Linked DNA regions of Cricetulus griseus. The protein of the gene in region 3 interacts with the protein of the main gene of each other region in a pairwise test. Links are inferred from orthologs where the notes say so. Each region holds a gene or a part of one and is shown on either strand. Other genes may lie near its edges.

Region 1 (3,650 bases), on a different chromosome or scaffold from region 3:
AATCCATACCTGAAATTTTGCCTTTTTTCTGGGAACATTGTCAAAAGCACTGATTTGCTGCAAAAGTTCTCCAACCTTAGGGCTGACATTGGGTTTCTTTATTAATTCATTAATTTTCTATTTAAAAAAAGAAGAAGAAAATGAACTGACATATTGGCTTGGCCAAAGGGCTCTCACCTTCAAAGCCAAGATTCTATATTTACATCTATGCATAATGACAAATACTCTCCTATTCCACACAGCACTGATGCCCTGGCCAAAGCCTTCCTAACAGAAGGAACAAAATCAGGTCAAATATTCACAGGCAGCATTTGAAGGAATATGGTCTTGCTTGCAGAAAGCTCTAGAGGGGGCAACCAGTTAGAATTAACAACTCATTCAGCAGAGCTGCAGAATACACAATTCTTAAAAAGCAAGCTGCATTTTTACACACCAACAAAAACAATTCAAATGTGAACACTGGGAGAATTTCATTTGCAATACAATATTAAGATGTCAACCTGAAAGCCATAGCAAAGTCCAGTTGTACATGTCAACTAATTCACATGGAACCCTGAGGCACTCCAAACACAATAGCAATCTTGAAATAAGTTGTTTTTTTGTTTTGTTTTGTTTTTTAATTGGAAACTTACTACAAAGCTACAATGATCCAAAGAGTGTGGTACTACTGCCACAAAGACCACTGGAAAATGCAGGAACAAGCCCCTGAGGATATGGTTAAAGGGTTTTTGACAAGGATATCAAGCCTAGTCCAGCTTGAAATGGACTCCTTTTCAACAAATGGTACCAGGAATAGTGGATCCTAACATGGAAATTAAATTGGACCTCATGTTACATAAAAAATAGCCCCAAATGTATCAAAGAACTTCAAAATATCTAATCTGGTAATGATTTCTTACACATGACACCAGATAGACAATATTGAGGGCCAGCAGGATGGCTCAATGGGGTGCTGTGAAAGGTGTTTTTGTGGAGGTTAGAGGACAACTTGTATCAATCACTTCTCTGGTAGTAGGTGAGTCCTTGAGGACTAAACTCAAGTTCTCAGACTTGGTGGCCAGCACCTGCATCCTAGCTGAGCCACCCTGCCAGCACTATCACATCTTAAAGATTTCAGCAGCTTCTCAACTGGGTAGCCACTGTTAAGTCCTTCATGAGGGTCGTGCCAGGATTATGCACCGTCAAGAGAGCCAACACCCCAAGTTTACACTCACACTCTGGCACTCAATGGGGGAACTAATTTGATTTTCAAGAAAATGCAGTCTCCACAAAGGTGCTATGTTATCTGTACAGCAATCTCCCCTTCTTTCAAAATGGAGCTCACTGCTTTTGTAAATATTTTCATTGTATTTAACTAGAAAATTCCTTACATTTCTGAAACTTTTAACTTTGTTCAGATGTGTTCAGATGGTTTAAACTCTATGGTTCAGTTTCATTTTACAGCCAAAAGAAAGTTAGCAGGAACCCACGAATATGCTGAGCACAATTTATAAAACACAGAAGCCAAAGATAAACAAACCACAATTTTATCTTTCTCAAGATGTTCTCACACTTGTGCTCCACCCCAAGGTATGCTGTCTCTGGGACTTGTCTGCACAGGTGGCACTTATAGAAGTGTGGGATGAGTGACAGGCTGGACAGAAACACTTACCTGAATCCATGCCTGCTGCTTTGCATCACCTTTATGTGTCTTGGCTTCATAGTCTTTGCCTCCATACTTCTGATTTTCACTGATGCACTTCACGTGGCTTTTATAGTCATCACCCCTGCAGAGGGAACCACGTCTTATCACTAGACTGACAACGTGCTAATGGCTCTCAAAGAGTACACTGCTTACTCTTTGTGATTTTCCATACTTGGCCAACTGCACAAACAGCCTAATTATTCTGCTTTTTTGTTGATTTCTTCAGAGCAATGAGATCTGACAGAACCACAACAAAGTGCCACCTCCCCGCCCTGTAACGCCCAGAAAGTCCCTTATTCTGAGTGCTCACTTCCTTGCATTGGATAATAAAGGAAGCAAAATTCTAGCCAGGGTTCTGAATGATTAAATTTTCTCTAAAAACTTTTTTGGGGGGGTGGTGGTGCTGGGAATTGAACCTAGGGCCTCATGCATACCAGACAAGAGCTCTGCCACTAAACTATAAACTATATGTTCCTGAAACTGTGTGTGTACTAAGTTACTAGCCCCAAATTCTCTAACCAACAGGATCCTGTCCCTTTGGTCTTCAATTTAACAAGTCCTTAAAATGAAATGGCACTCCCTGGAGAATCACACCAAGTTTAGTCAACAGACACTAAGGTTTCTTTTTTGTTCTCTGTCCTCAGTTTGCTCCTCTATCTTCCCAAGCTTTGTGGGGTCTGGACTTCTATACCTGGATCTAAGTATCAGAACTTACCAGAAATCTTTCCCACAGTCAATGCAAGAAAGACATTCACAGTTTCTGCAGACAGATACGTGCTTTTCCACCTGTATTTTCTTCACTGATTCACCACATGCATTGCATGTAAAAAATACCATTTTTGGTTAAATGACTAAATATTCTACCTGAGACAGGTTTGAACTCTTGCCCTAAAAACAAAACAAGATAAAGATATTATAATAAGCAGAAACTTCTTCCAATACATGAATTCCACAATAAAAGAGCATTATCAGAAGAACCAGCTGAGTGCTCAGCACAAGCCAGGAATTATACTCAGGAGCTAATGTATTGAGCCCTTGCAATGAGCTTACTGGGGAAGGATGTCATGGGTCAAGGTTTCTAAGAGGCCACAGTGGCATAAACTTGCCCAGGAGAGCATAAAAAGCTTTAAGCCTGGCAGATTAGCAGCATAGATAAAGCTTTCACTAATGATTTCAAGCACTCCCCCTTATATAAAATGTACAAAATCAAAGTGTTAACAAGCACCACAGTGCAGGTGTGCAGTGCATACTGTAACTGTGACTACAACACCAACAAAGCAAAGGGGCAAGCAGCAGAGTTTAGCAAGTGGAGAAGCTAAAGAACAATTCCACTGAAGACTAAAAATGATTCCTACATGCTCAATGATGGAATTACAAATGTTAACATGAAGACATCCCCTTGGCCTCAGTGGACAGGGACAAATGAACTCATTCTATTAGGGTCTGTGTACATCAGGCAGGAAGAAAGAAAAGGAACCAATTATGGTCACCCCCAAACCCAGATGTGCCAGCCTCCTTATGTGCACCCAGTATGGAGGGCATCTACACACACATAGCCAGTTCACATTGCATGCATGCTACTGTACTCTGCAAACAGATCCCTAAAGTGTTACAATTGCCACAGTAACTTTCCATGCTTACATAGCCTTTTATAATCACTGGTCTTTAAAAGAGCAGTGATGTTCTTACTAAAATGGGCTTTGTTCAGCCCAAATACCGAGAGCTGCCTAGTCCAGCACCCATTTCCTCAGTATGAAATGAAGGTTAGGACCAAGACACACAGGACTTGCTTCTCTGCTTCCTGTGAGAACTCCTTACCACTGAGATTTTACAGTAAATTCTCAAGCATGAACTCCATTCCAACCCCCCACCCCACCCCTTGCAGTGCTGGTGAGGTCATACCAAAGCAACATCAGGACTGTTTTCTTCCATTGAGCTCTAAATGGAAATGTCCATCCTGGTATAC
Region 2 (4,213 bases), on a different chromosome or scaffold from region 3:
ATTTAAATGGGAAATAAATGTCAGGCATGCTGGTGCATACCTGCTATTCTATGACTCAGGGAGGAGTTGAGAGTTAAGAGGACAAACTAGGCTACACACAGCTATGACCTTGTCTCAACCTCCCACCAAGCAAAAAGAAAAAAAATATTTTTTTCAAAGTGGGAGTGTTCAGTTCTCCTTTTAGGTTTATTAAGTCTTCTTAAAAAAAAAAAAAGGAAAGAAAAATTCCTCTTTTATCATTTGGTTTTGCAGTCCTGTGCAGTGTGCCCAGTGCAGTAGGGCTGTGCAGTGCCTACTTATACCCCCAACCACTAGCTCCTAAAATCCAAAGTAAATCTTTTTTTAAAAGAAAGATTTACTTATTTTTATGTGTGTTGGTGTTTTGCTTGCATGTATGTCTGTGTGAGGGTGTAAGGTCCCCTGGAAATGGAGTTACAGACTCTTGTGAGCCACCATGTGGTTGCTGGGAATTGAACTCAGAACCTCTGGAAGAGTAGCCAGTGCTCTTAACCCCAGAACCATCTCTCCATCCCCCAAAGTAAATCTTAATTGATGATAATATTCCTAAATATAGTGGCTTCAGGGGTCTATCTTCACTATGCAACATGCCAACAGATTTTCTGTGTGTCAAACCATCTGAAAACACTGAAAATGTTCCTCAGTGAGCCCATGGGTGGGGTTAATGTGATGAATGTCTTGGTTGTTGCTGCCAGTCTCTGGAGTAAAGGATTACAGATGCCCAGGGCCATCATTATTCAGCCGAGACAGCAAGACTACTAAGATAAACTCAGTCCATGGAAAATCTCATGTGTGGGGTGGGGGGGGAGGGGGTCTCTCAATAGACACCTCTTCCCAGAGCACTCCTGACACACACACCACTTCTCCCAGCTGACAAAGCTAATGGAATGGGCACTAAATTTTCATTTATAACATCCTCCAGCAAAAGACCGGTAGGTTACTCCTTTCGGTACTCAGGGAACAAAAGGTGAAAAGGTAGAGCAAAGACGGATAGAGAGATTAATAAGGATTAATAAAAGGGGAGAACATCACATACTACATTCTGTTCACAGTTCAAGTTTTTCAGCAAACAGAATTAACAGCATAGGAACAAACATCATCAACAAGGCACTCCGACACGCATTTAGCCAAACATTAATGATGGCAAATAGCCAAATGCCCTCAGAACTAAGTTAACAGTCAGGATTATGAGAAAAAAATACGCTTGCTGTGACAGTTGAAATCATTCTCAACCCTTACTCACTTCAGAAGAAAAGGTAGCAATTGCATGTTATCAAAAAATTCTCCTGAGCAAACAGAAATAACAGACTCCAGTTAGAGACAGAGCCCACTCTCTGCTGAAGCAGGCACTCTCTCTCTCTCTGCATGCCACACTGCTGCGTTTGGAATGGGAACCCAATCACAGTGGGACTGCAACGGCTTTTAAAACCACAAGAGACACAGGCTTACAGGTTTACACTAGACCCAAAAGTTTATTTTTACAGGACTATTATTTGGGAGGAACCTTCCTTAGTTAAATTAGCCAAGGCTCAATGGTGATGGCCACAGCTGGAGACACAACCCACAGTTCCAAGTCAGCAGGTATTTCTGGGGACACCTTCATATATTCCCCGGGGAGGTGTTACTGGGTTGGCACAGCAGTGGTAATACTGTCTGAAATGTAGAGTTTAAAACCTGGCAACACTGAGTGTCACAGTGGATCTGCCAGCAAAACCACAACTTAAACTGTCTCTAGAGCAGAACTGAGAAGTGACCAGAGAGCTGTGAGCAGTGACCACATCTGCAGAGGAAAAAACATGCCAGCTACTACACCACTCTGAACGGCACTGGGCAGCTGCTTCCTGCCAGTCAGTGGTCATTCTCAGGGTAGAGGATGTCTACTGCAAAGCCCACCCCAGCACAGCAGTGGGGTACAGACTGGCCTCACACAGTGCTGTCAGGCTCTGAGTGTCCCAACTACTGGGCTGAGTCATGGAGAGCATGCTAAGCCCGGTTCTCACCATCATACCACCCCCAGGATATGTGGTTCTGCTGTGCAGCTGCATGTCCTTCCTTCAGAGAGACAGAGCACCTTAGCTGGAAAAATGCTGCTTCCAGGCAGCTTTCCCTTTGGACCTGCTCTTCTCTGGGACTGAGGGTGGGCAGAAGTAACTGGTGACTCACAGAGAACAATGCCAAGGGAGGAATCATTGGTGTACCTGTGGCCCCAGCCCCCCAGCCCCATGGAAGATGGTGTGGAGAATAGAAAGAACCCCAGTGGGGGTTTGGTTCATACTAGCACCAGTCGTGTTCCAGTCTTCAGAGACTAAGATCATGTGGACTGCCTTCCCTCCAATGCAGGAGCAGCAACTGTGTTTGAAGGGAGCTTTATGAACTGTTATCCCAGTGACCAGGTATCTGAGTCAATCAAAAAGGTTTTCTTGAGCTTTATTGTAAGAATCATAACTTCACATGAAGCCACACAGCATTATGAGACAAGCACCTAGAGGCATATTTCTGGAATAAAAATGATGGTCCCATGATGATAATGAGGAATTAAAACTCTAGATAGGTGGCTGTAAGGAAAATGTCCACAGTAAATATTGATGGCTATTATACAAAAACCCATCACTGCCAACAGCCCACATCTTAGGAAACATCAAACTGGTCTTACTTATCAAATATACAAAAGCACTAATATTTTAATGGGACATGAACTACTTGGGCACTATGTAATAGGCCTAGATCTTACTCATATTTTCTTCATCTTCTATATCCATGGTAAAATGCTTTTGAGGGTTTCTTGACTGACGGAGACCACTTCTGTCTGAAAGACAGCAAAAAACAATATTTAGTGTGTGATCCTGGCAAAATGAGGTATGTCCTCTTTGTGTACTGTTCACCACAGCACAGCAATGAAAAAGAAACAAATATCATGAAAAGTAATGGGCTTATCATTTGGGAAGGAATATTTTCAGTCTCTTTCATCTCCTCTCAGCACTCTCCAGGGCACCTGACTTAGCAGCCTTATGTGGAGGGACAGTGGAGGCAAGGAAGGTGTCTCCACAAAGGAAGCTAGGGCAGTATGCAGGAACTTCATGCTCTACTCCAGGGAGTAAAGGGTCACTAAGGGTTCCAGACCAGGGACAAGGTGGTAATTCTAACCCATAATGGCCTGCTGTCAACAACTATGTCATAGCAGTTCACAGAATTACAATAAGCTGTTTGCCTTCTACTTTCTCTCTGCCCTTGTAGGTCTATGAATGGTAATAAAGTGATGTCACATTAACAAGACACAACAATTTTTTTTAAGTTTTTTGGAGACAGGGTTTCTCTGGGTAGCCCTGGCTGTCCTAGAACTTGCTCTGTAGACAAGGCTGGCCTCAAACTAACAGAGATCCATTTTGTTTCTGCCTCCCAAGTGCTGGGATTAAAGGTGTGCACCACCACTGCCCAGATGACACCCCAAGTGTTTCACCTACACTTCCATGAACCCCAACAGCATTCACAGGAGAACAAAATGTGTATAGTAGCTTAAATCTAATGCAATTTAAACTAACACAATTCCTTCACCACACACAACTATTAGCAGGAGAAACCAAGAAAAGACCTAAAGAAAAATTTCAACTGCCCAATCACTAACAAATCTAAGGTTTTCCTCTTCCCAAATATTTCTGATAAATTGCAATTAAGAGAAAAAGATTTGTAAAATTTGAAGTCTTTGTATTCCTTTGTATACAGATTTGTTTTATCAATATCAATAAAGTAAATTCCTTGCTTTTAGGAAAATTTTGATTAAATATGCTAGGTAGTATATATATTTCACATAGCACTTACATGATGGAGTTTCTACATAGAATCTTTTATTAAAGGTTTTCAAGGGTTTGGAGAGATGATTCAATGGTTATAATAAGCACTGGAGGATCTTCAGAGGGCCCAGGTTTGATTCCCTGTACCCACAAGGAAGCTCAAAACTGACTGTAACTTCAGTCCCTGGGGATATGAGACCCTTTGTGGTCTCCATGCACATGGTGCCACAGACATACAGACATGCAGGCCAAATACACACACATATGAAGTAAAAATAAAATAAAAATAATCTTAAAATAAATCTATAAAGGCATTATCACTTTATATTAATCCATTATTTTAAGATATAGTTCAAGTATCTATTATGTTTAAAACATTCCTGGGTACCATAAGAACCTAAAATGAA
Region 3 (3,650 bases):
CATTTTCTTCTGTGGCCAAATGGCATCTCGTTGAATGAATATTCAAGAATTTGTTTATCCACTCATTCCTCCAACATCTGACCTACTTCTACTTCTTGGCTCTTGGGACTAGTAAACTATGAACATGTCATTACTGGTATTTGAATACTAGTTTCAATTCCCAGGAGTGAAGTTTCTTGGTCACATGAGTTGCTGATAATCTTTTTATTGGGCAGTTGCACCATTTTATACCTGAACACCAATGTATGAGGTTCCAAACTGGAATCTCACAGACATTTGCTATTTCCCATTTTTCTGACTGGGTTTGAAGGGGTACTTTTCTGTGACTTTAATTTGTATTCTTCTTTGAAATAATGAGGTTGAACACTATTGCAGATGCTTTGCTTGTTGTCTCTTCTCTTCTCTTCTCTTCTCTTCTCTTCTCTTCTCTTCTCTTCTCTTCTCTCCTCATCCCTTCCCCCTCTCCCTCCGTCCCTCCCTCCTCCTCTCTCATCTCACTCTGTAGCTCTGATGGGTGTACAATTCACTATAATGCCAGGTTGGTCTCAAACTTGTGTTGATCCTCCTGTCTCAGCCCCCTAAGTGCTGGCCATCATCCCAGCTCATTTGCCTGTTTCCATGGACAGCACTGCACTGGAGATGGTCAAACGCCAGTTCCAGATGCTCTAGGACTATTTCATTTTTAAGTTAGTGAGAAGGATGTCAAAGGCATCATCAGCTCATAATAAAAAAACATCCTTGCAGGTGTCCTTCTTATCCCACATTCTGTTTTTCCTCTTAGTCCTGGTCACGACAGCTCAGTCCTCCATGTATTCCAGGCCTTTAGCAAACTGAGGACACTGATAAATACTTCTGGAATGGTCTCTCATCAGCTGTCCTCCAGACCACCTATCTGCATTTGCTCCCCAGGTGCTGCAGCATCTACTGTTTATCCAGACTCTGCATTTGACTCATGGCTGCAGAGACTACTGCAGGTTCTTTCCACCCCTAGGCTCTACTTTTCCAGTGCTGGAAGCTTAGACAGTCCAGGTCTTTACATCTCACTCAACAGGGATAGCACATTGTTCTGATGTTAAAATCAAGACACTAAACATGCATGTACATGTGTGCATGTACACACGTGTACACACACACACACACACACACACACACACACACACACACATTAAACAGGTATATAAATTGAATTAAATGAAAATCTACAGAGATGGGACATAGTAGTGACATTTGTTCCCACAATCCCAACACTTGGGAGGTGGATGAAAGACCAGGTAGGTATTCAATGTCAGCCTGAGATACAAGGGATCCTGTCTCAAAACCAACCAACAATAAAACAAAAGGGAATGAGATGAAACATGTCAGGATAAACAAGAATCCATACCTATATCCAAATAGGTTATGCTAAAACCTTGCTCCTTGGCAATCTCACTAAGCAGTTGGATATAGTCTGTGTTCGGGAGACTGAGGAGGCTTCTTTTCAGTAAGTTGATCTTTTCACCAGGGGAATTCCTCAACGAATGCCAAGTACATCCTAGGGAATGTCCAACCACATTTGTCTAAAAAGCAGAGATGAAGGAAAATTTAGTTTCCTAACTGGACCTGTTCCAATATCAGTACCAGTGTAACTGAAAGCACTGGTGAGGAGCTGGAGAGATAGCTCAAGGCTTAGGAGCACTGGCTGCTTTTCCAGAGGACCCAGGTTTGTTTCTTTCCAGAATTAGGCCTAGGAGAGACACTGCCAACAGAAATGCTTTTATTTTGATAAGTTCTTGCAGCTTGGGCCAGAAAGTTGGCTCAGCTGAGTTTGATCACTCAGACCCATAGGGCAAAAGAAGAGAACCTACTCCTTCAGCAAACCACCCTCCAACCTCTATGCAATGCACCTTGCCCCCACCACACATTCAAACAAATGTAAGAAATACTATTCTATATACCCACCAACTGAAGGTGCTTGTACTTTCACGCTCTCACTAATATCAGTTAGTTACTAAACACTATAGCTGCCACTAACTTAAAAGATAAAAATAGCTTATTTTGCATGAATAAACTGAATATTTTTTCTTTTCTTTCTTTTGTAATTTCCTACTGGCCTTTTTTTTTTTTTAAATTGATTTGCTTGGACTTTACATGAATGAACACTGACTTCTTTTTTTGTTTTAGTTATATTGCTTTTAATTATAGAATTTTGGTTGTATCACAGTAGGTTCTAGTCAAATTCGTTTGCTTTCAGATTCTAGATTTTAAGTTATAGTTAAAAAGATGCCCCACACCCAAGATTTTTTGAAAAGATCTTCCATGTTTTCTAGTACTTACAGTTTTATTTATGCTTAATCTTTGACCTATCTCAGATTTATTTTGGTATGGGGATGAGCAATCTATATCCATGACGACACACATCCAAACACACTATCTGGTCCCCTCATACAGGGCTGTTAGTGGTCCACACCACAGCCGAACCATCCCTTTTCTTACTGATCTGAAATCACTGTTACCATCACTAGGTGACAGTATATTTGCACCTACTCCTGAATTCTGTTCTGCTCTCCCACCAGGAACCTATGTCATTACAGTTTCATAGTTTGCATTACTCTCTGAGAGGGCACGCACCCTGGGCCACTTCAAATTCTTGCTTTTTAGGGTTCTTAGTTGTGCTCAAGGATCTGTTTTTTGTTTTTTTTCCAGATAAGCTTAGTAAAGTCCTACTGAGGTCCAAATTGAATTTTGGTATATTTAGAGTAACACAACTTGCATTTTTATGTATTTACTATACCAAGTCTCTATGTGAAAAGAAGAAATAATGCCACATTAATTTAACTTCTGTTATATTTTTCAGTAGGGTTTTCAAGGGCTCCTGTGTGAATGCTTGCACACTTCTATTCAAGTTTATTAGAAACATATCACTCCATTTTTAATATTGAAAATGGATTTTTTTATACTGTAGCTATTGGCTTTATAAATAAGAAAATAATTGACTTTTTTCTAGTATACCTTTTTTCAGAATAGATTTTCTCTTTTTCCAGAAAATATCTTTTTTTTATTTTTAAAATTTGTTTTATGGTGTGTATGTGTGGTATGGTATATGTGTACATTTAGTATATTCAAGAACGTGATTACACATGTGTCAACACTGGGCATCTTCCTCAATCACTCTCTACCTTACTGTTTGAGTCTCTCTCCCTGAGCCTGAAGCTCACAGATTCAACTAGCCTGTCTGACAAGCAAGCCCCAGGGGTCCTCTTGTCTCGGTCTTCCCAGCACTGGGATTACCAGCCTTTGTGCCTGGCTTTTTATGAGAGCTAGATTTCTGAATTTAGGTACTTATGCTTGCATACCAAGCACTTCACCAACTGAGCTGTCTCACAAGCTCTCAGGTTTTTATTAGTCTATGTACATCTACACATACACAAAAAATTCTAAAGTACACAAGTGCCTTACCCTCTTCTTACCTTCAATCTCTTTTCTCATAGCAATAATTTAACCTTCTCTTTTTAACTACTCTAGTTGTTATTTTTGTAAGACTAGAAGATGTGAAAACTACTGGGTTTGGACATTAATTTAACGACACATTCTGTTATTGTTTCTAATAGGTGTTTTGTTTTTGAGACAGGGTCTCATGTAGCTCAGGGATGCCTTGAACTTGCTATGCAACC

Evidence for each region.
Region 1: the proteins of Prkra (region 3) and Lyar interact in binary tests that used the Homo sapiens proteins (3 or more experiments, as listed by UniProt). The two-hybrid records come from large-scale screens. The link is inferred for Cricetulus griseus from reciprocal best matches to the Homo sapiens genes PRKRA and LYAR.
Region 2: the proteins of Prkra (region 3) and Adarb1 interact in binary tests that used the Homo sapiens proteins (3 or more experiments, as listed by UniProt). The link is inferred for Cricetulus griseus from reciprocal best matches to the Homo sapiens genes PRKRA and ADARB1.

The regions. Positions count from the first base shown.
Region 1 is NW_023276807.1:107,176,372-107,180,021, reverse strand, and holds part of Lyar (cell growth-regulating nucleolar protein), read right to left. Parts: intron 2,573-3,650; 5' UTR 2,522-2,572; coding exon 2,400-2,521; intron 1,767-2,399; coding exon 1,652-1,766; intron 118-1,651; coding exon 10-117; intron 1-9. UniProt on the Homo sapiens protein: Plays a role in the maintenance of the appropriate processing of 47S/45S pre-rRNA to 32S/30S pre-rRNAs and their subsequent processing to produce 18S and 28S rRNAs. Also acts at the level of transcription regulation.
Region 2 is NW_023276806.1:261,477,051-261,481,263, reverse strand, and holds the start of Adarb1 (double-stranded RNA-specific editase 1), read right to left. Parts: upstream 2,825-4,213; 5' UTR 2,778-2,824; coding exon of another isoform or gene 2,750-2,777; intron 2,515-2,749; 5' UTR 2,334-2,514; coding exon 2,294-2,333; intron 1-2,293. UniProt on the Homo sapiens protein: Catalyzes the hydrolytic deamination of adenosine to inosine in double-stranded RNA (dsRNA) referred to as A-to-I RNA editing.
Region 3 is NC_048599.1:98,417,021-98,420,670, reverse strand, and holds part of Prkra (interferon-inducible double-stranded RNA-dependent protein kinase activator A), read right to left. Parts: intron 1,557-3,650; coding exon 1,382-1,556; intron 1-1,381. UniProt on the Homo sapiens protein: Activates EIF2AK2/PKR in the absence of double-stranded RNA (dsRNA), leading to phosphorylation of EIF2S1/EFI2-alpha and inhibition of translation and induction of apoptosis.